Caenorhabditis elegans: one gene and its partners. The protein of the gene in region 1 interacts with the protein of each later gene in a pairwise test. Each region holds a gene or a part of one and is shown on either strand. Other genes may lie near its edges.

Region 1 (8,790 bases):
TCAATGATCCGATGGTAAAAGAAGAAACTCTCAACAAAATCGCCCTTCTCCCTTGTCGACGTCACCTTGCAGAATTTCAGCATATTCATGTTCCAGAGGAAGCCGAATTGGACACATTTGATTTGAGAAATCTGGGAGCCGTCACCGCCGCGGTTACCCGCTTCAAATCTCTATTGGATAACAAAAAAGGAGGAGGGGTTACAAAGAAGTCACATGTGTGCAGTATAATGTGAAATGTTTTTTAAAAATTTTGCTCGTAAAAATTTGTCTTTATTTTGAGTTCGTCCTGATTTGCAGAGCTCTTATACTAAATGAATTGAATTGCAAACAATTGCGAATGATGATATCCACAGAAAAAAGGATAGTGAAATGGAGATTCTTTCAAGTGGGGGTGGGATGAGAAGGAGATGGTGGTGGGGGAAGGGTAACAATTTTAATGATAAACTGGAATAAAACTTGACTATTGGTGTTGGCATCTGACGCCTTGTCCGTGATGTCCTCCGTGTTGTTCTTCGTCCGAATCTTCATTGTAAGCGTCTCCGCCACGTCCTCGGCTGTACTTCTTCTCGTCATATTCCATAAGAGAAACTTCTGCGGCAGCTGGGGTGACATTGACAACTTTTGAGGTAGGGAAGCAGCTTTTCAGAACCTGGAATAAAGAAAATTTTAGATAAATAAAACGTAACATACAAATCCTATTCTAATCAATTTATAAACATAAATTTTTGTTGCTTTTTTAAAACGGAAATAAAGTCAGTAAATGAAACAAAACCTTAAAAAACAGTTCGAACAATACATTAAGAACAATAAATCTTTAATAAAAATACTTACGGCATAAGCTTTTTCATCATCGAGGAAATGCTCCTTTGGAAATTCGACTTCAAATTCAACGAACAAGTTTCCTTTGAGTTCTGGGTATTTCTTATTTGGCATTCCTTTTCCAAGAACTCCTCTGATGACTCCTGGCTTGATAACATCTCCTTGTTTACTAGAAAGAACCAAAGGATGGCCATCAAGATGTTTGATAAGGAAATTATAGCCGCAAAGTGCCTCATTCAGTGATAGTTTCCTGAAAACAGTAAAACTTAATTTTTAAAAATCGATAAAAAGTTATTACTTGGTCATGTGAAGATCATCTCCATCTCTCTTGAAAATATCATGATCTTTCTGTTGAATAACAATGACAACATCTCCTGGCTCACCATCTGGCTAAAAGATATTTTTATTTAGAAATTTTTTTAAATCAATTATCTTCACATGCACTTACGTCAGATTGGTCTCCATCTCCTTTGAATGTAATTTTATCGTTATGTTTCATGCCAGGAAGAACGTGAACCTCCAATATTTTCGAAACGTTTTCGTACTTTTCTCCATGGCATCCTTTGCACTTATCACCTGCTGGAACTTTGCCTCCAGAACCCTTACAAGCATCACAGTGAACCTGCATTTGTTGGAGCATTCCGGGGCCAATTTGCTGAACGATCGTCTTCACTCCACGACCACGGCATGCATCACACTTATATTTTTCTCCCTTCTTTCCACCTGACCCTTCGCAAGTTTTACAGAGTGCCTTTTTGGAAAGCTTCAGCTTTGATGTTTTTCCGACGTAAAGCTCTTCGAGTGTAACATTGAGGGGATGAACAGTATCTTGGAATTTCCGCCGACGTGGGCCACCTCGTCCCATTCCACCCATTCCACCGAACAAGCCACCAAATGGATGACCACCCATATCATCATCGTCGTCATCGTCATCACCGCCAGCACCGCCGAAGAAGTGAGAGAACAGACCTCCAGGAAAGCCTCCTCCACCACCACCAGCTCCTCCTCCTTGAACTCCTTCCAAACCTCTGGCGTCATACAAGCGTCGTTTTTCAGGGCTCGAAAGAACTTCATAGGCAAAACTGATCTCTTTGAATTTATCTCCATGGTCCGGGTTTTTATCTGGATGGTATTCTTTAGCAAGTTTGAAGTAAGATTTCTTAATGTCGGCCTGCGAAGCGTCTGGTCTCACATTGAGTGTTGTGTATAAAGTGGTGTCCACGGGACCACTACTTCCACCTCCAAACATATTACCTGAAAAAAAATGAATATTAAAATGCGGACATGACAGTGAAAAATTGAGAGAAACGGACGGAGAATGCGCGAGATGTTTGAAAAATACAACTTTTAATAATTCAATAATGTAAATTATTGAATTATTTTTTAGCAATTTAAACAAAATATTTAGAAATCAATTTTCTTACACAACGAACGACACCAACGAGCAAGTGAAAACAAAAACTGAATTTTGTGAACAAGCATCGAACGTTAATTAATGAGAACTGAATAAAAAACGCGGAAAATCGAGAAATTGAGCAAACGCGCGTCAAATCGATAAAAAACCACCGAATTTGGGACTTTGTACTGCAGAGAAAATTCTCGATAAAACCAACGCTGGTCGCGAAACGCGCCAGCATCCAATAACGCGTCAGCCGCAACTTCGCTTGCCCCATTCTCGTGAGCGCACGGCAGAGAGACTGAAGACGTGACAACACCAATACTCCAATAATCTTAGCACGCACACAACTACAATCTATATAAATACTGCATTCTAACTAATAAAAAAGCCAATGCTACTATTACAAGCTATATTTAAAATATTCATAAATTCTAAATAATCCATAAACTTTAAAATTATGAGTGAAAAGTTGCCACCAGGTTGGGGTTCTGTTTTTGGACATTTTTCACATAATATTATCAGGTACACTATGCGCAGTCTGTGACGACATTGCAACTGGCAAACATTACAGCGTTGCTTCATGCAATGGATGCAAAACTTTTTTTCGTCGGGCTCTTGTGGTAAATTTAAATAAGAATAGACCTAGTTGAAATGAATCTGAAAATATTGATTTTTCTCTCAATTAAAATGTTTCAAATTGATATCTAATCACAAAATGTTGTAAGATCAATTTAACAAGCATCAAACATCACCCTTTTTTTAGAATAACCGAGAATTCGTGTGTCAAGGGAATAAAGATTGTCCAGTTAACAAAGGAGTTCGATGCGCGTGTCGTTATTGTCGACTTCAAAAATGTTTGGCCGTTGGAATGGATAAGAATTGTAAGTTTTTGGTATACTTTGAGATTATGGAAGGATCCTAGGGTACATGGTACATCGATTAGTAAAGCCGTAGAAGCAACCCGAAATAAATAAAAAATCACCTGCCATTTTCCACGGCCGAATATGTATAAATAAATATTAAATTGAAAAAATTAGAAAACACTTTTCTGTTGAAATATATATTTTTCTTACAATTAGATCAATTATAGAATAAAAAAGTATTATTCAGACGCGAAATTTGGCGAATTTTCCCTCTCTGCCGGTCTCGGCACGATAAATGTTTGATAAATATAAAAATATATGCGCCTTTAAAGAGTACTGTAGCTTTAAACTTTGCTGATGAATTTTTATCAATTTTTCTCCGATTTTCTATGAAAAATATAATTTTGCAATTGGTAAAAATATTAAAAACACATAAATTTGTGAGAAAAACTATTCAAAATCAATGAAAATTCCACAATAGCGAGTTCAAACTACAGTACTCTTCAAAGGCGCACACCTTTTCGCATTGATCAAAAAACTGTCGCGTCGAGACCAGGGTCACCGTATTTTTGAGTTTAAATAAGGAGAACAATTTTTTAAGAGCCGTTAATTAAGAGGCTCTAGATAAAATTACAAATTTTGAAAACCAATTTTGAAATTTTTCCAGTTTCTCATCAATCTAGAAGTTACAAAATTTCATAGAACAATATACAATTATATTTCAATTTAATTTTTTTTAAAATCTGAATCTATTCAGCAATTCAAAACGACCGTGATAGAATTGGATACACAAAACGAAAAAGAAGACATGATGACAATGATATGGAAGGAGGTGTTCATCATTCAGAACATATCAGAGATGGATCTTCAGGAAGTCCACAAATGAATGATGAGAGCCCCGAGAGTATGGATATGAAGGATATTAAAATTGATTTGGTAACTTTTAAATAGAAATTTCCAAAAACAATGCAATGCATAATTTCAGAATTGTCTGGATCCAATTGCTGATAGGCTTACAACGTTGGAAAATAACTTCACACTACTTTTGAGTAGATGCGCCGATTTGCATTCCTATGCAACGTTAGAAGATGCTCTCAATGCTCCAAGTCGATTTATGCAACCTATTTCTTGTGAAGTGAGTTGAAGAAATGATTTATAAAGTAGCGTCAATAGATGTTTGGTATTGTTTATGTGCATTAAAATAGTTTCTTTTAATTTTGAAAGTCGACCAAAAAATTTCAAATGTTTCTGAAAATTTTGGCATTTTACCAAAACTTGACTGAAAATTTCAAAAAATCCAGAAAATTTGGTCATATTGGTCTATTATAAATGAATTAAATTCAGAACCCCAATGGTCATATACTGTTAAAAATTTGCATAAGTATTTAAATTTTTGTAATATGAAAAATGTATAAAATCACGTCTAACAGCTTGAGCTAAAAATTTTAAAATTTTCATGAAATCTACTATTATAAAAATAAGACTGAACGAATGATTGGGATTTTTTCAAAATTGGAAAATTCACTTTTTTTGGTACAAAAATACGCCGAAGTTTATTAAAATTTACTTTTTAATTTTAGTTCCAAATTCGATTTATTTTAAAACTTTACAAAAAATTATTTTCCCAATTTTTTGGAATTCGTCAATCAAAAAAATTCCAATTTTATGTTTAAAATATATTTAAAATATTCATCTTCCAACATTGTAGATGCTCAAATATGCGACAGTGCATTAGATTTCTTGAAAAGTGCCGCAAACTTAGTTTTCACCGCTTTCTGACTTTTTTTAGATCTATTTCCAAATTTCCACAATACTTACAACTTATTTCAGTGGTCAGACAATGTAGTTCTCACAAATCGAGATGATAAATTGCCATTCTGGAGGCAACGTTTGATAGCTCTATACATAGATTGGGCGAAGACATTTTCCACTTTTAGATCCCTACCGTACGCTGACAAAGTAAGTATCTAAACATTCTCCTCTACCTCTTCCATCATCCACTTTTTCAGGTTGCCATGGTAACTAATCATGCATCTTCTTTCATGATCATGTGTGAAGCTTTCCGCACTCCAGAGCACATGAAATCGGATGTTGTTCGTAAGAGACCGGATCTTCCAAATATCGTGACATCAAACTCCGGATCCGGATGTAGCAGGGTTTCATCGGTGGCTGGAAGCTTAGTGAGCAATGGGGAAGATGTACACGATGATTTGACAAACTTGCTTCATGCGGCATGTATCCAGCAGTCTATCAACAAAGGGATCATGTTTGGAGAGAATTCTTCTGATGATAAAATACTTTTGAATCTTCCAATTCGGTATAGATATTCAAACCCATAAGTCTCAATTTATATTTTTTCAGAGAAATAAAGAAAGAACCACTAGAAGTTCCATCGACAGAAGGAATGATTCAACTTCCAACTGAATATGGCAACCTTCCAGCAGACTATGCTTCGTGGATCCCTCAAGATTACGGTCATCCAACAGCTGGACACGAAGGAAAATCAGATATGCACAATTTCTTTGAAGCTCGAGACTTTTGTGTGGTAAAATTTTTTTTTTTCAAGTACATAAAGTTAATTTTTCTTAAACAGGGTCGTCCATCCTCCTGCAACTTGAATGAACGATCTATGAAAACTGTTTCAATGTTGGAATCGAGAAACTTTCAGTCTCCAAGTGCAAAGTGGGTTCTTTATTTTTTTGAAAAACAATCTAGTTTGAAATTTATAAAATAATGAAACACAAAACCGTAATCTATAGAGCCATTTTTGCAAAAGTCAACCTAAAATTGTGTCTATGATTTTTACATTTAAATTATGTTTCAAATATTCACCTTAGAACATTCTAACTTACCAAAAGCTTAGCTGTCACTTTTGAAAGCTTTCAAAATTTTTAAAGTGTTTTATTGTGATATTCAGTCATGATAAATGTGTATTTAGACTATATTCTTATAGTTGATGTATCTGACGTTACCAAGGAATTATGAGAAAAATCGGTGGCAGGCTTAATGTGCCTAGTAGACGCCTAGGCATTTTGTTAATTTTGGAAGGTATGGTCAGTGGGGACCTAGTCTAATTACACTTATTATATATAGTCCAACATGACAAAATACCTTAATTAAACAATTTAAAAACGATCTTAGATTTTTCTCAATTTTAAGTTTTGGGTTTATGTTTTGTTCAACTTTTGGCAAATTGCCAAATTTCAACAATGTACAGCTTAGAGCTTTTGTGCAATTTCGAGAATTGATGCAAGTTCGGACCTCCAGAGTGTTATGTACAATCAATACAAAATTAAAGTATAAAACTCGAAGAAAAAAATTATTTTTGGTCGACTTCCAAAATTACAACACTTTGACTGTAAATTAAAATTTTTCAGAGGTAAGAGATGAAAATGTAGTTTCAAACTATTGCCCTACTGACGATATTCCATGTTTAACTTCAATTAAATTTTGATTTTCAGCAATTCGAGTCTTTCTGGAATAACACCAGTCCTCACAATGATGATCGATCTTGTAATGAAACCATTCCGCCAGTTGAACTTCTCCACGACAGAATTCGCTCTACTTCAAGCAATCATGTTCTTCGATCCAGACACCGAAGGACTCGATTCGGCATCACAAAGAAATGTTGTAGCAGAACAGAAGAAACTACTTGCAGTGCTCTTTCGTCATTTGCAAAAGGCTTATAATCCGCAAGCGGCAAGCGAGAGATACGCTTCAATTATTCTTCGAATGCCATCGATTCGGGTACGCGTTGAACTTTCGATCTGTCTGATTAAAAAATTCTATAAATATTTCAGAGAGCCGCTGCAAAAAAGAATGAATCATTGCAAGTGCTGGATATGCTTCAAATGCATGAAATTAATTCTCTAGTGAAGGAAACATCGCTCGGTCCGAGACCTTCAAATGTTCAACAACGAATGGGAATTGGTGGTGGTGCAGGAGGATGTCTCACGTTTCCATCTCAAGAGGATTGAGGATTGAGGATTAACTTCAAATCATTGAATCTACATATTTTTTGATCTCATTAATATCATACTCAGGATTCCATCAGTATAAATTGCCTAGATAAAACCAAATAAAGAATGTTTATTGATACTCAACGTTATTAGAAAATATCGAAAATTTAATAAAAAAACTGAGTTAAATCCTCAAGGTATCTGATTAATCTTATTTTTAAATAGAAGTTATTGGTTGTGAAATGATTGGGATGTTTCTCTGATCATTGATCAATGTTTCATCCACTACTTCCAATTTTGTGGTCTGATTCCATCTTCCAAACCAGTCATTGACAGCTCGATCAGCTTCTCTGCGACCACTCAAATAACCTCCGATGGTTGTTTGGAATAGTCTGAAATTGATTGTTTAGACTTTTTTCTCTTATCTCTGAAATAGTATACCTGTGATGAGTTGCTTCACCGGCAAACAGAACCTTTGGTCTTCCTTCCAGTTTCACTGGAATCGCAAGTTGAGAGTGAGAAATATGGGAGAGCGCTTGCACTTGAGTCATGTAGGAATAGGATCCTAGAAGCAACTCGTTCTTGGTCAGCTGAGTTCTGATAATCTTGCTAGGCTCGGGAATACTTTTGTCGTTGTACATGTCTCGCATCAGTTTTGTAATTCTTTGCTTCAACTCTTCCTCCGACATGTTATCCACCAACTGATGACCTCTACCAGCATACCATGCACTCAGAACGTTCGGAGCCCAGTCGACAACTTGAAGGATCGTAGTCTCATCTTCAAATGCATCCAGTTTATCTCTAATCATTCCCTTAACAGGGAGAGGAGCGATGGAGTAGGTGTTGTTCGACCAAAATGGAGTTTCCCATTCGAAGAACACCTTGCAAGATCCTCCGAATCCGATTTTCTCGATGGCTTCAATTTTCTGTCGTGGCAAGGGTGGTGTGAACATTTTATGATGATATTTCTTGAGAACTCCTAACGAAGAAGTCACAATAATATAGTCATATTCCGTTGGAACTGCACGATCGGAAACTGTCAATTTGATTTTTCCAGTGTTTGAATCCAGATTGATATTTTCAACTCGACTATTGAAATTGAATGCCTTTCTTGGAATCGGTGCGGCAATATCGTCCAAAATCGCTTTGAATCCAATTTTGTTAGTGGCAAATGATTCACATTCCGGTCCATAGTCATTCCACTCTTTTAGAACGTGAACACTCAGCTGGAATAGACAATTTTCAAAAAATTTCAAAAATTCAAAAATTGTCCCAATCACCTGCCAGTATATTACGGAAACGTAGAAACGCGTCTTTTGAAATCAGGATGCAACCGCGCTCCACGACTAAATTAAAATGCTCCGCCCAAAAAGGTTGGGTCTCGTTAAGGATTGGCTCAATTCAAAAGCCTTCAATTGCTTTCGCCAATTTCTCCAAGCATTTTCCGGTTTTGATGTCTTAAATTATTTTGATGTCGAAATTTTTGTCGAAAAAATTAAAATTAAAAACCTTATTCACATTTAAACTTCAAATGCATTTCATTTTTAAAACATAATTTCGAGCCCAAAAAGTTATCAAAAACGATGAAGAACCTAACCAAAAAAACGGAAATATACTTTAAAACTTTCTGACTATAAGTTCACGAGTTTGCTACCTAACGAGACCCAACGTTTGAAAGGCGGAACGTTTTTTCTGCGTCCCCATAATTGATATTCAAGTAATCACTTACAGTACTCCAATCAGCCGCCCA
Region 2 (7,045 bases), on another chromosome or scaffold:
ACTAGAAAAATGTATGCATCAACTTTCCGAAAATAACAAGTTTTTTTCAACAATGTGAGTCGCTCATTTCTGTGGAATTTACAACGAAACAAAGTTTTCATCTTAAAACTCCCTATCGAAATGTTTCATAACAGCAAATTGTCTATTTTCTAATACGAAAAGCTTTCATTCAGCTACTCCATGTTACGATCCAGAACAGGACTTCAGCTATTCCCTTGAAGATTTTTGATAGAGATAAAACATCTTTCGGAGAGAGCTTTGTAGATAATTAAAGCTGGTTGATGTTAGTAAATGTCACACTAACAAAAACATTTTGAAAGTTATAGAAAACTAATAGAACATTATTGAACTTTATTAGTAACAGTATTTGTTTAAACTATTAATGTTTCTCTCGGCAAAGTAACACTGCTCTAATATTTATTTTCGTCCATTATTCCACTAATAAATGTCCTATGAGATTCCCTAAAAAGTCTTGAACACATTTGCATAAATAAGGCAAATCACCATCAAGCTTGAAGAAGCGATATTGATCTTGGACAACAAAACCCTCGCATCCCGCTCCTCCATGTAACGATCCGGGACACGGTAGGCGCATATTTGTCAGAAAAAAGATCTGAAAAGGAGATATGGTGCGCATGAAAAGTTCGTAACGGCCTTGACACGTGTGTTTGAACTGGAGAGTTTTCTGAAGTACAATTTATTTCAATGGGTCTCACCACGAATACTGCTGTTTTGGTACATTTTTCATAATATAATATCATTCTTCATATAATAATATCATAGTTTGGTGTAGGGAGAGCAGCCAAAACTTCAGAGCGAAGACAAGATATTTCAAATTTTAGCAAATTCTGGATTTTTCTTAATTTTCTTTTAAACTCGATTTCAAATCGTGATAGCTTTTTGTATTGCTTTGTATAGATTTTTTCTCGCCTACATAGATTTATTTTTGATATTCACAGTTTGAACCAATTTCGCTCAGAATACAAAAACGCTTTAAGAAACGGGAAGAAGAAGCTAATCGCAATATGAAACGCGTTCATTCAGCTACTCCATGTTACGATCCTGGACAACTTAGAAATTCGTTTTGGAGAGATTGAGCGGAGATATAAATTTGGAGATATTTTGCAGAGTGGTGCAATACAATAAGGATAGATCTACAAGCAACTGTGAGCCGCGACGAAAGTTTGTTGTAATGATAACTACAGTAGGGCATACATCACTATTTTATAATAGGCCGCCTGAGTTGTTTCCGCGCCTGCCTATCACATTGAAAGCAGGTAGGCCTACGTAAAAATATAGTATTTTATATTGAATGATAAGAGCGACAGTTTGCTATTGATGTTGATCCAAAGTTCACAGGTCATACAAGAATCAAAAATGTATTTCCAATTAATCAAATGAATCATAACAGGTGATTATTTCTTATCAATGTTCACAAAATTTTTTTCTTGTTTTGTTAAAAAGGCTTGTGATGCAAAAATGTACCGATCATCCACGTCATTCGGCAATGTTTCATCATTGTGTTCTACATTAAAAACCAGCCACTGATCTGCAGGATTAAACAACATCAAATTTCGTTGTTTATTATGAGGTAAGGAAATATAGTGAACAATACGGTACAATATTAAAGATCAGCTATGGCAATCAGAACGCGATCACAATTTTTTGATAGAGATAGTCATTTGGAAGGATGAAAATGTTCAAAAGCTTCGAGTTTAAACTGATAGTGAAAGCAAATTTGAGAATTTGAAAACTGAAGAAAGTATTTACAGGATATTAAAAGGGGATTCGGGAGGATAGAAACCTTAGGGAAACAAAATTAGATTGAGTACAAGTAGGCGTTGAGATCGGAAAATAGGATATTCTTGATGGTGGAGGACATATCGGCATTCTGAAAATTGTGAGCTTTAAAATCAAATATTCGAATTTAAATTTAATTACCTGAACTTCTGTATGAAGACACATCATTTCTCCCATTCTACTTGAATACTTGTCGATTTTCAAGCCATCACAATACAAATAATGTAGATCATCGAAAAGAGCATCACGAACTTGCTCGGCGCGATCTTCGGAAACACAGCCGCGATGATTGCGAGGAGCCCAGATGTTGAGAGCCAAAAGGGTAATGAATTCGAATTCTTTGATGATCAATTTGTGCATTGGCTCGAGAACCAAGTTTCTTGCTTTAGTTAGAAGATTCTCCAAACGACTGGAAAATGTTTAATTGGGAATATGAAACAAATTCAAAGAAACTTACGCTTCAACTGCTTGAATATCAGATTCATTCAATCCAGTGGTATTTCCAAGCCAGTATCTAACATTTTTCGAGTCGATGTAAGTAGTTTGAGTGCACATCATCAAAGTCTCGTATTCAGGTTGAACTGGCATATTACGGTAGGTCCAGTAGCAGGACTCGATTTCCCAGAGAACTGGATAAAACATAGCACAAATTCTCTTTTGCTCCTGGACATCACACTCGGCATATTCGTCGAAAGTGTTTTTGAGGAAAATATGGAGAAGCCCGAATTGTTTTTGGTAGATTTCTGAGATGATTTCACGAGTTGCTGGAACAATTGGAATGCCAGTTGATCCGAATACTTTGGAATCTTGTTGCATGTGCTTGAGAGAAAGCTCGACGTCTAGGCGGGATTTGGTGAATTCACTGAAAAAACGAAAATTATAAATTTGAATTGTGGAATTCCAATAAACTCACTTATAGTTGATAAGTACTTTGTTAATGAGAGATGCCCTTGTTGTGTAGATATTTGGATTTCCAATTGTTGGAATTGGGCGGTGCACAGAAAATGATATTTGTTGTTGGAATTGTTCAATTGGATGGGATACATCCATATCTTCACATGATTTACCCTCTGAGCCAGTATCCGATTCTTCATCTTCCTTTTTAACTGATTCGTCTCTTGATGTTGTCTTGACATGGTCGGGTGATCGTCGGCCAACTACTGCTGAAATATTTACAATTTCACATGTTATTCTCATGACCTCTATTACTATTACAACAACTTCCTCCCCCTTCGCTGGGTGGAAACTGTGACCAACAATCATATTTTGTCTGTTTCACTGATGCAACGATGAACATATTCGTTCTTCGGAAAGACCAGAATGATTGCGGGTAGCAGCATCACACATCCACTGATATTCTCTTTATGTGTCTATCTCTCGCGCTTGTTTTAATGAACTCATTCCGTGCTGGATTGTTTCTAGCGCGCAGCGAATCATGAATGTTAAAACCGATTTCCAGTTTGGATTGAATTGGCGTGATGTTAGATGCTGATTTGGAGACAATGCATATTTCAATTTAATCAACAATTTTTATATTTACTCACCATCAACATTAAGACCAACAAGAAGACACCTCATCCATCGGCACTTTTGGCATGTGGTTTTTCGAGACACTGCTAGAAAAATAATGGTTTGTCACTGATCTATATTTGCCAAGGAAAGGGGTTACTCTAGAAATACTCACTGTTAAGTTCACATTTGTTGGTTCCACGTCTACAGACGAATGTCTTCTTGACAGCTACACTTCGTCGGAAGAATGCGGCACATGCTCGGCAAATCTGAAAATCAATAGATGTTCATCTTGTCAAGCGAGAAGCAGGGAAAAGCTTCACAACGAAATATCTTTGGATAGGCTTGGAAAACCGGTATTCAGAGAAATCGGCTTGAAATCTCGAGCGAGAAATGAATTTGAACTGGATTGATCGAACTTTAAAATTAAGTTATTTTTAGGATTCACTTGATAAGGATATAGATAAGAAAAACGGCCATGACTATTTCTGGCAACCCCTCACATTTCCAAATTATCTTAAAATCTGTCTATAACTGTTTTATCTAAAGTTGATGACCTAGAAAACTTTGTGGCTATCACAAACAATCTAGGCATTACCCAATAACAAGTCTTTTTCGGAAAAGATGAATATCTGATGATCAGCACCAAATTTTCTCGACCCTCCGCTTAGGTTTTTCCTCTCTAACCTATTCTCCTCGTGTTCCTCACTAACTTACATCAATTCCGAAGTGCTGCGAACCGTCGTATCGTCTCTCGCAAACTCGGCAATGAATGTTCGATGGGTCGGCAACGGTCGGACTAGACGATGATGATGGAAGCGACAAAGGAGACGTCGCCGGGTGTCCGCTTAAAGATTTCAGATTACAACATTAATTGATTTTATGAAAAAAAAAAGGTCTTGGTCATTGTGGTGGATATCGCCTAGCCAGGAAGTTACACTTCAAATCAGTGGTGCGCGACAAATGCCGTTTGCCATTTCTTATCGTTTTTTTATAGAAATATACAGAATTATTTGTATTCTATGAAAACAACTTTACATTCAAGTAAAAGTTTCAAGAAGCTGTTTAAAAACTGCCTCAAATATCAATATGCTGATCGGCACATATCTTACGACTCTGAAGAAGTTTTCGAGCAACTTTTCAAAACTTTTTATTGAATTTTAAGTTATTTTCAAAAAGTACAGATATTTCTGTATTTTTAATATAAATTTCCAACAAAAACCGTTGCCACAACTATGAGAAAACGGGGATTTTGTAAATGTGCCGCACGTCACTGCTTCAAATGAATAAATGCAAAATGGTACTTGAAGCAATTTAAAAAATTTGATGAATTTTTATATTTGAAAATTTATTTGATATTTCATATTTTCAGGAGAACTTACATCATGACTGTCTGGAGTGGAACAGTTGGATCAAAGTGAAGAAATGGGCCGCTAATCATTACACAGGAAACAGGCGGGTGCACCGATTCAGAAGGAATGAAGAGGAGATATTGAGGAGAAGGAGTACTGTAATCTTTGGCTTGTAAGGAACAATGACGTCATCGATGGGTTTCGAGAACGCCGATCTCTGTATGATTCGGCGAGGAAGTGAGGAGAAATGAAGAGAGAGAGAGAGAGAGAGAGAGAGAGAGATGATACAGTGGAAACTATCTCATATCAGCACTTATCACCACAACTTGTGTGGTTTCGATGATCGGAAAAAGAAGAAAGGAGAAAAATAAATTTTATATCAAATTATGCAAGTTTGTACAAGCCTTGTGTGCCACCAACGTTGCAACTGACACTGGAGGCGGAATAAAAGGAGGCGGAGCGCGCGGTGGGTGGGATTATATCGGATGGAGAGGGCGGGAGACGGGGACAGAAGACGTCACAAGCATGGGAATCAAATATTTGTAGTGAGAAGTCAACACAATTTGAGATGCGGATCAAAATCTCTGCGCGCCTCGGCGCATCGAACAGTCGATTGCAGAAAAAAGAACGAAGTCTCTGGCCTTGCCACGTCATGTGATAGTAGTAGGAAAATAATAAGACTACGTACAGTTGCAATTTGACAGGCTGGAAGAATCAGTGTAATCATTAAGATGGATCTGGTGGTTAAAATAAATTACAAATAGAAAATAAAATCCCAAATGTTCTACTTTGAGTCTTTGACAACATATGTATACCTCGGTTTTCTTTGATTTTATCAAAATTTTGTCAACTGACAAATACGTGCAAAATATTTCTTGGGAAATTTATGAAAGTAAAAGTAGATTCTCAATGTTCTAGCACACTATACATACCACTTTTTGTGGACCCGATGAACAAAACTTGCAAATCGCCCAATTCCAATTGTCAATGAATATGTAGCCTCCTCAAACTGGGAGGTCTATGACTTATCATCAAAAAATTCCCGTTTTCACTTTCATATATAGGATCTCTGATAAAATTTCGTGATAAGAAAATAAATAAAAACTATCGTACTGATTGATGACCACGGACTACCTATTTTAATTGTTTCAGACTATATATACTTTACTATTCTACAATTAGTAATATTCAGTGAAAGACTATTTTTTAAATTGATTATAACTGTAAGACTATTGCTTTTTTACAAGTAAATTTGAATTTTTAAGTAGAAATAATATCAAAACTGCACATCTTGCTCACAAGTACTTTACTTTGAGAGCATATATTTCAGTTAATTTCAAAGATACCAGAAATTAGTTAACTACAAACGTATCGAAAAATAAATGAAAAATATTTTGCTAGTTGACAACTTTTTGATAAAACAAACTACAATTGAGATATACGCTGACGAAGCTAGGCAGTTTTGTGACAGGCTAAAAGGGGGCAAAATGTACTGAATAATGCAAACAATGTTGTAAAATGCGAAAGTTTGGTTATGAATTTTTTAAATGTTCGAATTTTTCCGGTGGGCGTGCAATTGCCGAATCCCAAAATGCCGAAAATGCCGGAATTATCGAAAATCGATCTCCCGTTAAATTGTAGACTTTGATTTTTTTGAAGGGAGTCAGAGTGTTTTGGGAAAAAACTAGGTTTATTAAAAATGCGTCGTTTTAGAATTATATTATAGATGAAAAAATAAACAAAAAAAATCAAAAAAATTCCTGGCACATTTTGAACTTCTCTACAGTTTGCACTATAAAACAGTTTAACCCCGTCAATTGTATCGGGCACAAATCAGAACAATTCAATGATAGTGAACAACGAGAGACAATGCATCATTTAATGATTTGTTTCATAGAACATTTCATTCCAGTTTTCGCTCATGTTACCCACTTTTTATCATGTGGTAGTCTCATGAACAAGGGTAGACATGGGTTACGGTGTGAGGAACTACAGTATTGGATAATGATGTCAGTATGTTAAAGGAGGAAAACAAAAACAAAAGTAGTTTTCTTTACTTAAAAATTATGATTCATTCTTAGAAGCATAACCAGTAGCGAGGAGAGGCTTTGCAGAACAAGAAAACTCTTTTTTTTCCTGTTGAAAAACAAACACGGATTACGGTAGATTTAATGAGTCTGTTGCTATCAAAGACGTGGATGATTTATCAATCATCAGAAACAAAACGAAGTTGTTTTATATAGATGAATGAGAAATAACGTTGTTTCGGTGAACTATAGAGAATACACCGAGAGACGTAGCAATCTATTGGAAGACCAGAATGATAGTTAAATATGCACGTGAAAACAACAAACTAGACACCGATAACCTAAAGAGGTGGCGTA
Region 3 (9,533 bases), on another chromosome or scaffold:
CGGATGTGCTGAAAGGTCCGAAGCTTCGGAAAGTCGGCATGCCTGCTGAAAAATCTGGAATCTCCCTAGGAAAAGTTGTCGAATCAGTGGAAGCATCCGGCAATCGTCCATCCTCAACTCCTCCTCCGCCACCTCCTCCACCACCTCTGGCAGCTGCTCCTCCACAGCCCAAGAATCCCGACCTAAGGGACTCGTTGATGAATGAAATTCGAGAAGCTGGAAGGCTACGGGCCGCCCGTGTTGCTCAATCTGCTTAATTTATACGCTTTTTTTTGTTTGAAGAAGAAAAATGAACTGAAACTGGTTTTAATCTTATTTTCGTCGTTGTCAACATCTAGCCCATTTAATCTTGAATATTTTCTGTGATTTGTGAAGAAAAACACGTTGAATAAATTATTTTACAGCTGAATATGTGCTTTTTTAATTTCAGATTTGATGGCCTAATTGGGAAATTCTAGGCCACCAGCCATTGCCGATGAACATATTACAAATTTCAAAAAATTATTTTCTTCAAAACCAAACACCCAAATTTTTTTTAACTACCAATCTACTAACCGATTATACTAACCGATGTCTGAATAATAATATAAGCACAAAAAATTAATACCCACCGTTCAAAATCTGACTGAAATTCCAGTTTTAGTTTAGCTCCCAATTAATATGTATTCCAATTTTCAAAAAAATTATTTTATTCAAAACCAATCACACAAATTTTTTAAAACTTCACCAATATACTAATTGATCTTTGAATAATAATATAAACACAAAAAATTAATACCCACCGTTCGAAATTTGTCTGAAATTTCAGTTTTAGTTTAGCTGAAAATGAATAAAAATTCAAATTTTCAAAAAATTATTTTCTTCGAAACCAAACACCCAAATTTTTTTCAAACTTTACCAATTTACTTACTGATGTCTGAATAATAATATAAACACAAAAAATTATTACCCACCGTTCAAAATTCGACTAAAATTCAAGTTTTTCTTTAGCTGAAATTTAGTAAAAACTCAATTTTCAAAAAAACATTATTTTAAAACCAAACACCCAAATTTTTTTTTAACTTTACGAATATACTCGATTATGACCGAACAAAATTTTACGCTAATATCCAGTTTTACTTTGACTTTTCAAAACCCTCATGCGCCTTTAAACCTCGGTGTACTGTAATAACTCGATATTTTAATTGTTTTTATTGCCTTTTCCTCAACCAATGTTAGATAAAATATGTTTTTCCATTTCCAGTGATCACATGGTACAGTTATATTCAATTAAAGAAAACAATCGCGGCGAGACCCAAAAATGTACTTCCCAATTCGATCCCAATTCTTTCGCAAAATAATGACAGAGTGGACAACAAAATGTGACATGTTTGTTTTTATAAGACGTCCGCCGTCGTCTTTTTTCTGTTTACTTGCACTTCCTCGCAACGGCGTGGCCTAGGTTTTCCCACGGCCACGCTCATTTAGGTTCTAATAAACCACACTAGTGAGAGAGAGAGAGAGATAGTTGCGAGAAGAGACGGAAAAGAGCTAGAGAGGTCTCTCGTTCTCTTCATTGGCCTCAATTTCTCGCCACCACCCCCTACGTCTCTATTCCCCCAATGTCCTACATTTTTCGGATCGTTTTTCCCTTATATCAGAATCTGCCTAATTTTACGAGGTTTCGGCGCATAATATTATGTGCAATTCGAGAATAAAACTTTGAATATTTATTAGTTTAGGTCTTTTTCATTGATTTTTTCCAATAAATTCAATTTGATTTTAAATTGCTTGAAAATCGCCACCGTATCACTTTAAAGGCGCATTGCTGTTGTTTAACTTTGGGTCTCACAGCGAACCGAGTTTCAGTCATTAATTTTGATTTTTCCTTGGTTTTTTTTAAAAGAAAATTCTCAAAGTTAAAATTTTCACTCGGTTTTAAAATTAATAATAGCTAGCAACTATAATTCTGGAAAAAACATAAATTCACTTTAAATTGCCTAAAAATACAACCGTATAAGTTTAAAGGCGCATTGCTATTTTTAAGTTTGGGTCTCACAGCGAACCGAGTTTCAGTTATTAATTTTGACTTTTCCTCGGTTTTTTAAACTTTATTTGAAGAAATTCTTCAAAATTAAAATTTTTCTCGTAATATTTAATCAAAAATAATAATTAGCAACTAAAAATTCGGAAAAAAATAGAAATTGCTTGAAAAGTTTCACCGTATAACTTTAAAGGCGCAATGCTTTTGTTTAACATTGGGTCTCACAACGACCGAGGTACTGTGGAAAATTTATCGAATTTAACGAATTTATTCATTTTTATGAATATATTTCCATTTTCCTCGGTTTTCCGAAAGATTTTAAGCTTTAAAATCATCAAAAAAAAACTTAGTTGCAGATAAAAAATGAAAATGGAAGAATTCTCACCTCCAACTTCACCGAATAATCACGTAATCGTGCAGGCGAACCCGCAAATCGCCGCCGCTCTCTCCACGAATTCTGTAAGCGATTTGTGTGTCCGCTCTCTAATTATTGCTTTCTGTCCCAACAATGACTCACCGGCCAGCCGACAAAAAAAAAACAAAAAAAACGAATAAAAATAATAAAAAATCGGAGCGCCTCTCCGTTTTTTTTCCCCCGTAAACGTCCAAAGTGTATGTGTATTATTCTCATATCGATTGTGCTTCTCTTCTTCCCCCGACAAAACCATTTCCATCACAAAAGCTTCTCGTCGTCCTCTGTCCATATATATATATATATTTACTAATACTAAAAAATGTGGCCCTACCATCATGGATATCACGTCTATCACCCACATTTTCAGCCAATGCAGCAGGGAATTCCGCCACAAGGCCATCAGAATCCCAACGAACAGCAGCAGCAGCAGCAGTTTGTGGGCCAACCGCCGATGGGTGGAATGGGCGGCCCGATGAGAATGCAGATGCCACAGCAGCAAAGTATGAAGAAAAAACTCCTAAAAAATGCCTCAAATTCAGAAATAATTCCGTGAAAAATGAAAAAAAAATTGCTCAAAATTTAGCTGAAATCTCCAATTTTGTCCTATTCCGCCTATTTTAGTCGGCTATTTTACGTTTTTTCCGAAGAAAAAAGAAAAAAATCGCGAAAAAGTGAAAAAGTTAACTCGAAAAACATGATTTTTCGAATTACCTCCAAAATGAGAAATGCCTGAGCAATCAGCGATTCGCTCCGCCCACTTTTCGACCAATCAGGTAGATTGGGCGGAGTTTGAAGATGCTGATTGGTAGGAAAATACTCGAAAATTGGTAAATTAAATATTTAAAAAAAGCGATTTTTAAAATGGAATTCTTTGAATTTTTTAAAAGCGATATCTACATTTACACAAAGCCGCCTTAAATTACACCTAAATTAACGAAAAACGTGAAATAAATATGCAAATTAGGATGAAAATTGAATAAAAATCAATTTCTAGCCACCCTGGCACCGAAAAAATGGAGATTTTCGCTAGAATTAGGCGATTTTCGGAATGTCTGGTAGATCATGGTGTGATCTACAAAAAATGCGGGAATTTTTGGCCCAAAAAAATGTGACGTCAGCATGTTCTTAACCATGCAAAATCAGTTGAGAACTCTGCCGCATTTTTTGTAGATCAACGTAGATCAAGCCGAAATGAGACACTCTGACACAATGTGTGGTTAGGAAATTCGGAAATTCAGCAAAATTGGAACAGCGACCAATCAGCGACCGGCTCCGCCCACTTTTGGACTAATCAGACGGAGTGGGCGGAGTTTGTAATCGCGATTTTCTCCGTTTTTTTTTTTGTGGTTTTTCTGAATTTTAATGTATTTTTGGATATTTTTAAAGAGAGTGTAGTTGAATTTTTTTTTTATTGCTGTATTAGACTCAAAATTGTCTGAAAACATCGAATTTAATAATGAAACTTCTTGAAAACTTTTCAGGAAAAAGTTATGATGGCTCAAAAAATGGCCTAAAATTAGTGCATTTCTTGCATTTTCAACTTGATTTAGGTATTTAAAAATCAATGGACGGCGAGATTTTTAAATTTTTTTAACGATTTTTTTCCGTTTTTTTTTGTGGTTTTTCTGAATTTGAAACTATTTTTTGGATATTTTTAAAGGTGGTGTAGTCGAATGTTTTTATTTGCTTTATTAGACTCAAAATTGTCTGAAAACACCGAATTTCATAGTGAAACTTTTTGAAAACTTCTCAAAAAATAAGTTATGACGGCTCAAAAAATGACCTAAAATTAGTTAAAGTTTGAAATTTGACCAACTTATCAATGTCGCAGCGGCTGGAAACATTTTTTTTTGAAATCACCGTCAAATTTTGAGTATATAAGTTAATTACCTTGTGTTTTAAATTTGATTAAGGTATTTAAAAATCGATGGACGACGAGATTTTTAAATTTTTTAAAACCAAATCTCGCCGTCCATCGACTTTAAAATACTTAAATGAAGTTGAAAACGCAAGATAATTAAATTGTATACTTAAAATTTGACGGTGATTTCGAAAAATTGTTTCCAGACGCTTGGCTAGTCGGTAAAATTTCAAATTTTAACTAATTTTAGGTCATTTTTTGAACCGTCATAACTTATTTTTTGAGAAGTTTTCAAACAGTTTCACTATGAAATTCGGTGTTTTCAGACAATTTTGAGTCTAATAAAGCAAATAAAAACATTCGACTACACCACCTTTAAAAATATCCAAAAAAAATAGTTTCAAATTCAGAAAAACCACAAAAAAAACGGAAAAAAAATCGTGATTTTCAAATTTTACTAAAATTAGCTCTCCGCCCACTCCGTCTGATTGGTCCAAAAGTGGGCGGAGCCGGTCGCTGATTGGTCGCTGTTTTAATTTTGCTGAATTTTCAAATTTCCTAACCACACATTGTGTCAGAGTGTCTCATTTCGGCTTGATCTACGTTGATCTACAAAAAATGCGGCAGAGTTCTCAACTGATTTTGCATGGTTAAGAACGTGCTGACGTCACATTTTTTGGGCCAAAAATTCCCGCATTTTTTGCAGATCACACCATGATCTACCAGACATTCCGAAAATCGCCTAAAATCTCCATTTTTTCGGTGCCAGGGTGGCTAGAAATTGATTTTTATTCAATTTTCATCCTAATTTGCATATTTATTTCACGTTTTTCGTTAATTTAGGTGTAATTTAAGGCGGCTTTGGGTAAATGTAGATATCGCTTTTAAAAAATTCAAAGAATTCCATTTTAAAAATCGCTTTTTTAAAATATTTAATTTACCAATTTTCGAGTATTTTCCTACCAATCAGCATCTTCAAACCCCGCCCACTCCGTCTGATTGGTCCAGAAGTGGGCGGAGCGGTACGCTGATTGGACGATGTTCCAATTATGCTGAATTTCCGAAAATCGCCTAATTCTAGCGAAAATCTTCATATTTTCGGTGACTACACCGTCTCTTTAATAAGGCTTCTCATGAAATAATTCGTAATTTTAGTCCGCCAAATGCCATACCCATCACCACAAATGCGTGCGGGCCCTCCACCACCACAGCAGCAGCAGCAGCAACACTTTCAACAAATGGGTATTCCACAACAGCAGCAGCCCCAACAATTCACACCGAATGGGCAATCAATGCAAATGCAACAGAGACCAATGCAGATGGGCATGGCTCAAGGGGTACGGGGGCGGTTATTATCTGGGAAATTTGAATTTAAAAAAAGCTTCCGTTTGAGACCCAAGAAAAACCTTTTTTCGGGAATTTGGGTCCACGGGATCAAAAATCTCTGAAAAATTGTTCTAAAAAATGTTACAAAACAATTTCTGCAGTGGAGCAGCGGAGCAGCGGTGAAAATTTCAAGGCTTGTATAATTTCTTCAAAAAAAAAATTTTTTTTTCGCATATTTTGGGCATTTTTAAGACTTTTTCTGCAGTTATTTTTGGAAATCCGCTTAAAAATCCTCTAATTTTAAAATGTTTCCAGCCAGGACCATCTGGACATTTAATGGGAATGGTCGGAGGGCCTCCGCCACAACATATGATGCAGCAGCAAGGAGGTGGTGGACCACCACAATTTGTGGTGAGTTTCCGGCAAAATCGGCAAATTGCCGGAATTGAAATTTCCGGCAAATCGGCAAATTGCCGGAATTGAAATTTCCGGCAAAACCGGTAAATTGCCGGAATTAAAATTTCCGGCAAATCGGCAAATTTCCGGAATTGAAATTTCCGACAAAATCGGCAAATTGCCGGAATTGAAATTTCCGACAAAATCGACAATTTGCTGAAATTAAAATTTCCGGCAAATCGGCAAATTGCCGGAATTGAAATTTCCGACAAAATCGGCAAAATGTCGGAATTCAATTTTCCCGCAAATTGCCGGAATTAAAATTTCCGGCATATCGGCAAATTGCCGGAACTAAAAAGGCAACGTTTACCGATCGAGCTCGTAAAAAACCGGCAAATTCGCCAAATTTGTCGTGGCGTAATATTTTTTGGAGCTCAAAAAGAGCCCGATTTAATGGAAAAACTATAAAAACCATTAGTTTTGGGCAAAATTTTTCAAAATTTCCAGCCAAACTCGTCTCCAATGCCGCTGCCTCCTCAACAAATTATGCAAGTACAACATCAGCAGCAACATCAGCAGCCACCACCATCTCAACAAATTCAACAGCCTCCAATTCCACAGCCACAACAGCAACAGGCACCGCCACCTCAAATGATACCGGCCGCTGTTCCGTATGGAAGTATTATGGAAAAGGTGCAACAAAAAACCGGCAAAAATACTTAGAAATTTCGGCAAAAAAACCGGCAAAAATACTTGAAAATTTCGGCAAAAATACTTGGAAATTTAGGCAAAAAAACCGGCAAAAATACTTGGAAATTTCGGCAAAAAAACCGGCAAAAATACTTGGAAATTTAGGCAAAAAAACCGGCAAAAATACTTGGAAATTTCGGCAAAAAAACCGGCAAAAATACTTGGAAATTTCGGCAAAAAAACCGGCAAAAATACTTGGAAATTTAGGCAAAAAAACCGGCAAAAATACTTGGAAATTTCGGCAAAAAAACCGGCAAAAATACTTGGAAATTCCGGCAAAAAAATCGGCAAAAATACTTGGAAATTTCGGCAAAAAAGCCGGCAAAAATACTTGGAAATTTAGGCAAAAAAACCGGCAAAAATACTTGGAAATTTCGGCAAAAAAACCGGCAAAAATACTTGGAAAATTGATTTTTATTTAATTTTGAAATTTTTTCAGAAAAAATCGAATAAAGCTCAGATTTTCCGATTTTTTTTCAAAGAAAATCGAAAAAAATTCAGGTTTTTTCAGGAAAATTTAAAAAATTTTCTGATTTTTTAGTTTTTTTTTCAATTACAAATTTCTCTAGCAAAAATTCGCAAAAAAAAAATTTTTTGGATTGTCTTTTCATAGAAAATGAGCAAATTTCAGATTTTTCGGTCTTTTTTTTCAGAGAAAATAGGAAAAAAAATGCACAAAGAATTCACGGAAGGGGACGAAAAAGCTATAGATTTATCAAAAAATATGCTGATTTTTATTGAAAAAAGTGATTTTTTTTTTCTATAAAGTATTGAAAAATGGCCGGAATTTATTGAAAATTCGATTTTTTTTAAACGAAAAACGAAAATTTCCAATTTTTCAATACAATTTTTAAATTTTTTTTTGAACTTTGAAAAAAATTCGAACTTCTGCATACACTAGTTTTTGCTTTGCTCCTGAAAAAATAATGAAATTAAAAATGGAATTTTTTGTAAATTTGCTATTAAAAATTCGATTTTTAAATTTTCACTGAAAAAAATGCCTAAATTTTTGGTAATTTTTCTTGTAAAAATTCTTGTAAAATTAAGAGTTTTTGTTTAATTTTCTAATTAAAAAATTTTAAATTTTCGATTTTCAAGATTTTCAAACAAAAAAATCGAAAATTATAACAATTAATAAAAAAAAAAAAAAAAATAGCCTAAAATTTTCGTAGTTTTTTTTTTTCAAAAACTCTATAAAATTTTTTTTTCCGATTTTTTGATTTTCACTGAAAAAACCGAAAATTCTTATTTTAAAAAATCTTCTTTTTTTTAAAATTTTTTTTTCAGTCAAAACTGGATGATTTGATGCAACAAATCAGCTCAACAACAGTACTCGAAGAAAATGTAAAAGATGTTCTTGTGGAGTACGCCGACGATTTTGTCAGTTCTCTAATCGATAAAGCATGCAAAATGATCAAGAATCGGGAGGTGAAGAAAATTGAATCACGGGATATCGAATTTATTCTCAAGAATGTCTATAATATGCCAGTGGTACGGCGTTTTTATTACTGATTTTTATGTTTTTTTTTGATATTTAAAATGGTCTAGAAAATACGGATTTCGTGAAAAAAAAATTAGAAAAAAACGCCTAGTTTTAGCTAAAATCTCTAATTTTTGACTATTTTTTTGGAAAAAAAATCTTCTTTTTTTTGTTGATAAAAATTTTCATCACAAAATAGCTTTAAAAAACCGGATTTCGTAAAAAAAAAACGCTTAATTTTAGCTGAAATATCTACTTTTTTACCGTTTTTCGATTCTCCAGTATTAAAAATTTTACCTGAAAAATACAGAAAATCGGGTTTTTTTTTCGATTTTTAGTGTTTTTCAGAGAAAAAATGTCTAGAAAATATTGAAATATTCATTAGAAATTTTTTTTTCTCCGAAAAACCTTGTAAAATCGGAAAAAGAAGAAAAAAAAAGTGTTAGGATATATGGATTTATCAAAAATATGCAAAAAAATGTGCAAAAATGTGCAATAACTGTGCAAAAATGTGCAATAAATATGCAAAAAAATGTGCAAAAAATGTGCAAAAAATGCGCAAAAAATGTGCAAAAAATGTGCAAAAAATGTTCAAAAAATGTGCAAAAAATGTACAAAAAATGTTCAAAAAATGTTCAAAAAATGTGCAAAAAATGTTCAAAAAATGTGCAAAAAATGTACAAAAAATGTTCAAAAAATGTGCAAAAAATGTGAGACAAAATTCGAGTTTTTCAGCTAAAATTAGGTGTTTTGGCTCGATTTTTAATCTAAAAAATCAGAAAAAATTGTTAAATTTCAGGTTCCACGCGCTGCTTCGCACAATTTTGGGTCTCAAACGGAAGTTATTGATTTATCGAAGGAAAAGTTTGTTCCAACGGAAGCACACAAGCAACGGGTTGCTCTACTCAAGAAACAAATCAAGAAACTTTAAAAATTAATTTTTTTTTGTTTTAATTTTAATTTTCCATTCAAAAACCTCCTTTTCTCCGGGTCTTCCACGATGAATTTCCTCTTTTTATGACAAATTTTTTTTCTTCATTTTTTTGGTTTTTAAAAGGTTTCAAGTCCTTGAGTAATACCTCCAACACTTCAGATTTGGTAAATTTCGTGAGAAATTAGAATTTTTTTTTGAAAAATTCTTGAAAAAATCCAAATTTCAGACAGAAAATCGGCCGAGAATGCGATTAAAGTGAAGAGCAAAGAGCAAATTTATATGTGAGTTTTTTTTTTCTAACTTTTTTAATGATTTGAATCTTTGAAAATTATGAGAAAAAATGCGAAA
Region 4 (6,658 bases), on another chromosome or scaffold:
ATCTTAGGAAATGCAAGACAAAGAAAATATATATTATGAAGAAGCCACTTCTCCAGAATATCTTCATTTCCTCCCTGGATCCAATTTCCTGAGTCTCTGGAGCACTGGTTTCAAGCATTCTACCTGAGCATAGAAGAGCTTCTCCTTCCACTTCTTCAAGAGGAAGGCGGGAAAATGATGAGCAAATAGAGGGCTCCGTGTCTCTATGCCACAAATGATCCTCCCTCTAATGGAATAGAGAAGGGTGACTACGGTATGAAAACATACAAACAGAGACGCATAAATAGACAAAACACTTTCAAACACCTGCTAAAATACAACAGTTGAGAGAGTGCATTAGCATGATATACCTTGCCAATAACTTTTCCGACTTTTTTTTTCAACGAACTCACCTTGCACTTGAAAAACTCTTTGGACAAACTCCACACTTGTGTGATCCGTCGGGAGGCGTTTGACCAGGTACAAGTTCGCCGTGTTCTCGAATATACTCCTCGAAACCGTTTAGATTGCTGTCTTCACTGCTGCTCTTTGTGCAGCTTTGAGTACTGTCCGGCCTGAAAATGGTTGATTTTCGAAAGGTTAAAAAACAGTGCCTCAAAAAATATAATACGTTTTTAATACTATCATATAGCAAAACCGTATAACACAATTAGTTTGGCTACTCGCTTTTTAAGTTAGGCAGTTTTGGAATCTTGGATGTTATTGGCTTTATCAAAAAATGTAAACACGCATGAAGTTATGTTTTTTTGAATATTCCGTAGTTTCAATTTTTGTTCTTAAAATTTACAGAACTCTTTTTTAATGTGGTGAATAATGAAAGTTCATGACTAAAATAAAAATATGTTTTCATTTTAATTTTTAGCTTTTTCATAAACTTGATAGTTGAATTTTGTGTTATTCTTTCTAGTGTAAAGTGCAATGTCTAGATAGTTTGATACGAATAACGATTTAGAAAAATCTATTAAATATTAAAATTAACCCAAACTTTTCAAATCTAATCGGGCAAGTTCAAGGTCTAACGTAAAAATTGAAACCTAAACTTTTGGGATACCAAGGAATCATCGTCTAAAAATTTAAGAAACATAGAAAAGATGGTAATAACACAAATTAAGTTAGCGATATAAAGATTTCGGAAAAAAAGATAAAAATTTATATTTTCCGCAAAAAAAACGATTGATTCTCAAAAAAGATGCAAAATCTAGATCCGCTTCCTTCCCCCGATGCACACCCCTCAAAATAAATCAACGATTTCCTTTGAGGGGCTCAAATACCCAAAAAAGGGCTCCTCCGGAAACCGACACGAATTTGTCATCCAGAAGCGGTAGAATCTATATGTAAATGAACGGGACACAAAAAAAGCGGGCGGGCTTCACTTGGAGATGCTGAAGGATGTGCTCTTATCGGAAATCCGTTACTTTCACCGCGCCAGTGAAAACTATCGAGAAAACGACGGGAGTTAGAAAGTAGGACGATGAGAAGAAAATGACAGAAGATTTTCATGAAGATTCACATCTTTCTTCCGTTACTTTTCCGTTAGAAATCGAGATTTATTTTCGAATATTCGCCTGTGTAAGACCGACAAAACCGGTTTGAAATTTTTTAACGCTGATCTCAACAACTCAAAAATTAAAGGTATACTCAATCTGCTTTTTAGAAATTGTTTTATGTGTAATTCAAACATCCTTCTATGTATAGCAACACAGAACTTCAAATCATAGAAAAAATTCCGGAAAATTACAGTTTTTGCAACTTGTTCAGTTATCGTTCCAATTTCAAAGGTGAGAAAAATCATACCTTTTTAGCATGCTCTTTTTCTTGTTTCTTTCAAGGGTCATACTCACCGATCTTCATCTTTTAACAAAATTAAATTCTCAAGATCATCCTGATCCTCCTCATCACACTCCTCTTCGGACAGTCTTTGTAGAAGAAGACGCTCTCCAATATTGATAATCTTACTGGTTTGTAGAAAAGTCTGAAATTTTTCTTATAGTTAGATAACTTCCTCATTAAATTTATCTAATAATCACCTTTCTATCCTCCTGCCTCATACAAATATTGGCATCTTCTCCGTCATCAGCTTCCTTAATCAGGTTCAAGATGAGAAGAGCATTCGAATCATTCGGTGTAGCCTAAAATAATAATATTTATAAAATTAATGTAAGTGATTGTTTTTAGTACTTTTTCTAAATGATGAGTGTAGAATCTAGGATCTACATAAATCGTAGTAAAAAAATGTATGCCTGCCTGAAAGGTGACCTTCGACGGCCTCGTGATAACATGGATTAAAGAAACGATTGGCACGCTGGGTAGGTTTCTCTATGACCGCTTGTAAGACAACGGTGATGTCTCTTCGGACTTAATTTTACAAAAAATGGACACGAATAGTTATAAAAAATTAAAGTTTCAAGAATCCCTGTATTTGGCGATGCGTTCTTCAAAACTGCATATCCAAATTTTAAGTTTTCACTTCATTTGATATATTGCGGACTGGAAAAAGATGACGTCACGCGCGTCACACCGTGTGACACCAGTTACAAGACTGCATTATTTTTCCTGCAATCTCTGTATATTTTCCCACAGATCTTCGCAGAAACAGTTTAGTACCTCAACAAGGGTTTTGTTGGGCGTACTGGGTTTCCTCCCTCAATTATTTCACAAATCGCACACATTCTAAACTCATTCTCGAAAAAATCTTATTTCATTTCGGCCAACTCACCACTCTCTGTGCTCCGTGAGCTTCAGCCCAAAAACCCATCAATATCTAATAAGAAGAAGCAGGAGCTGTCGCTCTCTCTATCGCTTCTGGAATCTAATTTTCCCACTGTGAGAGCAGGTGGTTTGCCTTCACCAAGCAACCATAAGCAATCAGTGGCTCTCTCGCAAAAGATGATGAACTTTTTCTTCAGTGGCTTCTGATTCTGAGTGACTGCCGCTTGATGTGGTGTGCGTGCGTGATAAGCCAATCAGTGTGAGAGACCCGTCGCCGGCTCTAGATGATAAACAACTGGGGGAAATACACTAATTCAATGATGGAATTGTGACGAAGTTGGATAACGACGACAGCTACAGTAGGAAATTGACGGCTTGATCAACGGATTCAATCCCTCTCCTTTATTGATAGAGCTCCTCAAATTCTTCTTCCTATGGAAACCTAGCAATTATCCATTTTCCCATCAGCGACTGTATTCATCAATTACAGTCGATCATCGAGTCTCTTTTCCCATCTCGGATCCCCCATCCACCAAGGCACCAGGTGTTCCGATTTGTAAATCCTAATGTAATGGTTACTAGTGTGCCCCCAAGGTTAACAAAGTGGTAATGGACGGGGGGAGCGGGAAAGGTGGAAAGACAGGTGTAAGGAATTTTTGAGGAGAAGAAGCAGGGAGGAACACATGGCGCCAAACATTTCAGGGTCCCGATAATTGCGGTTTTGGGTTCTGGGAAGAATTTGTAATTCGAACGTTGAATCATTAGGAAAGGATTTGAAAATGTTGGCGAAGGTACTGTAGATTAGGTAGATTAGGCACCAAGGTATCAATTTAAAATGCTTGTAAAAATATTTTAAAAAAAGTTTTGTTAATTTAAAAAAGTCATTATTTTATCAATTACAACCTAAAATTACTGTTATCATATAACTACTAACTAACAAAATATGAGTGTAACATCTGAAAGCTTATTTCATAGGTTACTCAAGCTATAAGATATTTCAGTTCAAGCGACCTGTATTTTTTCCGGTGGAGTTTTTTAGACGCCCGGGAATAAGCTTATACTTCTTTTTCTAGCGGACACCTCTAAGACAATGTCTACGGCGTAAAAATTGTACACCAAAAGCTCACCTTATCAATCACACCGATGGTCCTTCCGAGTGCAATTTGAGTTACTGCAATGAGCACATTTCCATGTAGCTCATCCTCCTTTACCTCAACACTCGTGAGGAAGTCTGTGTCGATGCTCATCCTGAAAACTTAGGAAACTGTACGTGGGAAGAAACAAGAACTGTACAAATTACAAGAACAGTTTTGGGGCGAAAGATGAGTAATACATCTTGTGAACGAGAACAATGCAACGAAAAAGTTGGATATGGCTGTTCAAGGCTGGCTTTGTCATTGAGAACGAACAGGGAGGAGGAATGGTACGGTAGATGTACGAATTTGGGATAGGAGTTAGGAGTAAGCTGAGAGATATTGGAGGGAGGTGTAGTTTGGGAAGAGATTATTATTTTATTGAATTTTTTAGTAGATGGTGAAAAAGTTTACAAGCCCAATTCATTTGGTAGATGAACTGTAGGAAATTCGTTTGAGATTTTTCATGACAAATTTGCTAGTCAGTTTTAAAATCAAGAAATTCTTAATTTAGAGATTATTTTTTGAGGGTTCTACACCACCACAATGTAGGATACAATTTTATTGAAAAATTGACATATGAGAAGATTGCTCTTCAAAATTTGACATTCTATATTTGATCCAAAAACTCGAATGTCTCTCCAGAAGTCATATATAGTAAAAACGTCAAGATACTTTAAGGATACTTCAACTAACCAGAAAAAAAAGAAAGGAAGATGGAAAGAGGCGCCTTCCATTTGTGGATGCGAGAGGAGCGAGAGCCTCTCCTGTCTCAAAAAGTGGGCGGGTGGAAGAGATGGAAGACGACACGCCCATCAGCCAATCGGTAGAGTGACAGGATGCTTCAGGTGAGGAGCATCTTCACTTGAAAAGTTGCAAGTTTCGAAAACCCCACGTTACTAAAGACTATTTTAATATAGAAAATTCTTAAAGTAGAATAGCAATTTTTATTTACTTTCTAACATATGTACTTCGATACTTAGAAAAATAAACAAAAGTGAAAATATCTACACCTACTAAATTAGAATCTATTGAGCATTTCTAGTAGAAGCCAAGCCGTTTATTTGTCGGCTGAATGTCTGTAATAAGTTTCCTGATATCATGAGGTGAAAGCAGAAGACAAACGTTTTTTCCAGGAGTAGGCTATCGCGAGACTCCATCGAGGTCGGCTGCGAGTTTACCGAACTGCTCAATAATCAAAGACCAACTTAAAAACTATAACAACTATTGACTTAGTTTGAATTTTTGGAAGTAAATTGCTGGACGGAAAATACAACAGGGTGTAGCAGTTTGCCGCAGCTTTGAAATTATACATTTGAGGACAGTCTAGAACCATCCAAAAAATCAGTGACCCCAGAGTTTCCAGTAAAAGCGAGCAAATGGGAGCTATTTTAAAGTAGAGGTGTGCCCCTCCACCAATTGTGGTCTTCTTCTGACGGATGTGCTGCGCTTTTCTTCTTCATGGTCCTCATCTTTTTGGAAGAAGGGACGGGACAAAATTGCCGCTTCTTTTCTTCTATTCTTTCCGTTTTTCTTCTCCTCATAGCTCCAGGTGAGCGCACCGAGAAGAGCTTTTATATAGGAGTAATAAAAGGTGGGCTCGTCCATTCTACAGAAAAATAGAAGAATGGAAAAGTTGTGAGGAAAATGGAAAAAAAGTTAGAGACATTCAAGTGATACAGTATTAAAAGTGTCATAAGTGTAGAAAGAAAACGGTCACATTTTGAAATGAAGAATTGTTGAACAAGAGTAAAATATTTCGAAAACCTTGAAAATTTAAAGTTATGGTGCTCATCACTTGACACATGATGTGCCATTAGAACTGATAATAATGATATGATAACAAAAAATGGAACTTTTTTTCTGAATCGGAGGCAAAAAAAACCTCGCGTAAGTGACAATTTCCCATCGAATGAGTGTTATCAGATAGTTTGGAAATTTTGTGAAGACGATTTTTCCAGAGAATTTTCCAAAAGGTAGGCTGCCTACTGTCTATTCTTTTGAATTTTAACGTGAAGTTCGGTGCTTGAAGTTCACAAAGTTACGCTTACCGTATTTTCCTTATTAGACGTGCACCCCCATCACCATATTTTGGCGGTTATTTTTTTAACTACTAAAATATAGTAATTTTGCATGTTTTTTGTTAGTTGACAATTTTTAAAGAAAACCAAAGACAACAGAGCTATTTGAAGTGGAAATAGATCTATATATTTGGTGGTATGCACACGCGAAGGCGGCATTTTTAAGCCTATTAATAGTAAAATCTAGAGGGTAGCAAAAAGGTAGGATGACGCATCAGATGACATTATTTACTGCCATCTACCCAAACCTAAAAGTCTCGAAGTCACTTTCACACTTGAAAGCATTTAGACGTCCATTTTACGGAGATTTTAAAGAGGCACCCAGTCGCTGCTCCGGAAGAAGAGGAAGAAGCAAAAGAGAGGCGTGGTTGCGAACCGATGGGAAAGGTAATGATGAGCTCAGTTGAGCATGAATATGAAGGAAAACGATGTAGAAAAAAGAAGAAGAAGAAGAAGCTGTGCTTTTCCCATGTGTGTCTGTCTCTGTAGTGGCAATCTGGATGGTGTAGGCTAACACAGAGGAGGAGCAGGTTTTGCTGCTCTCAGGCACTTGGAGTGAGGAAGGTGGACACTGAATAGGGGGAGAGGAGAAAAAAGGTGGAAGAGAACAATTCATCTCCAGGTACGGAATGGATTGATGAAACTGAGACAAATAAACAATGGTTTTGTGAAAAGTTGACTTTCAGGTTCTAATATGATGGGACAGTCTGAAAATAATTTTTTTTTTCAAATAGT

Evidence for each region.
Region 2: the proteins of nhr-47 (region 1) and nhr-43 interact in a two-hybrid assay, tested with the Caenorhabditis elegans proteins (one large-scale study listed by BioGRID).
Region 3: the proteins of nhr-47 (region 1) and taf-12 interact in a two-hybrid assay, tested with the Caenorhabditis elegans proteins (one large-scale study listed by BioGRID).
Region 4: the proteins of nhr-47 (region 1) and egl-43 interact in a two-hybrid assay, tested with the Caenorhabditis elegans proteins (one large-scale study listed by BioGRID).

The regions. Positions count from the first base shown.
Region 1 is NC_003283.11:5,502,778-5,511,567, forward strand, and holds nhr-47 (Nuclear hormone receptor family member nhr-47), read left to right. Parts: upstream 1-2,475; 5' UTR 2,476-2,675; coding exon 2,676-2,697; intron 2,698-2,740; coding exon 2,741-2,838; intron 2,839-2,981; coding exon 2,982-3,099; intron 3,100-3,838; coding exon 3,839-4,017; intron 4,018-4,066; coding exon 4,067-4,216; intron 4,217-4,911; coding exon 4,912-5,040; intron 5,041-5,090; coding exon 5,091-5,398; intron 5,399-5,442; coding exon 5,443-5,626; intron 5,627-5,674; coding exon 5,675-5,763; intron 5,764-6,542; coding exon 6,543-6,828; intron 6,829-6,881; coding exon 6,882-7,058; 3' UTR 7,059-7,179; downstream 7,180-8,790. Other genes in the region: T05C3.2 (NACHT domain-containing protein), read left to right, coding at 1-233; dnj-19 (DNaJ domain (prokaryotic heat shock protein)), read right to left, coding at 461-649, 832-1,069, 1,118-1,209, 1,268-2,068; hpo-15 (Amine oxidase domain-containing protein), read right to left, coding at 7,258-7,432, 7,482-8,266, 8,770-8,790. UniProt on the Caenorhabditis elegans protein: Orphan nuclear receptor.
Region 2 is NC_003282.8:11,897,434-11,904,478, reverse strand, and holds nhr-43 (Nuclear hormone receptor family member nhr-43), read right to left. Parts: upstream 4,820-7,045; 5' UTR 4,751-4,819; coding exon 4,692-4,750; intron 4,157-4,691; coding exon 4,027-4,156; intron 3,579-4,026; coding exon 3,485-3,578; intron 3,417-3,484; coding exon 3,345-3,416; intron 3,237-3,344; exon of another isoform or gene 3,106-3,236; intron 2,964-3,105; coding exon 2,714-2,963; intron 2,663-2,713; coding exon 2,258-2,662; intron 2,210-2,257; coding exon 1,942-2,209; intron 1,892-1,941; coding exon 1,820-1,891; 3' UTR 1,569-1,819; downstream 1-1,568. UniProt on the Caenorhabditis elegans protein: Ligand-activated transcription factor. Positively modulates expression of homeobox protein lin-39, perhaps by binding to the sequence motif 5'-TGAC-3' in regulatory regions of the lin-39 gene, acting in the embryo, and also in the vulval lineage.
Region 3 is NC_003281.10:11,862,128-11,871,660, reverse strand, and holds taf-12 (Transcription initiation factor TFIID subunit 12), read left to right. Parts: upstream 1-2,379; 5' UTR 2,380-2,386; coding exon 2,387-2,482; intron 2,483-2,805; coding exon 2,806-2,938; intron 2,939-5,454; coding exon 5,455-5,636; intron 5,637-5,940; coding exon 5,941-6,036; intron 6,037-6,528; coding exon 6,529-6,714; intron 6,715-8,058; coding exon 8,059-8,262; intron 8,263-9,050; coding exon 9,051-9,182; 3' UTR 9,183-9,268; downstream 9,269-9,533. Other genes in the region: Y56A3A.6 (WH2 domain-containing protein), read left to right, coding at 1-257. UniProt on the Caenorhabditis elegans protein: Part of the general transcription factor complex TFIID. Plays a role in recruiting taf-4 to the nucleus and thereby activating transcription initiation by RNA polymerase II, as part of the TFIID complex.
Region 4 is NC_003280.10:9,952,484-9,959,141, reverse strand, and holds the start of egl-43 (Zinc finger protein egl-43), read right to left. Parts: upstream 3,958-6,658; 5' UTR 3,957-3,957; coding exon 3,837-3,956; intron 2,132-3,836; exon of another isoform or gene 2,130-2,131; coding exon 2,028-2,129; intron 1,973-2,027; coding exon 1,842-1,972; exon of another isoform or gene 1,795-1,841; intron 555-1,794; coding exon 393-554; intron 1-392. UniProt on the Caenorhabditis elegans protein: Probable transcription factor, required for migration of the hermaphrodite-specific motor neurons (HSNs) from the tail to the gonad primordium during HSN cell differentiation. Required for phasmid neuron development.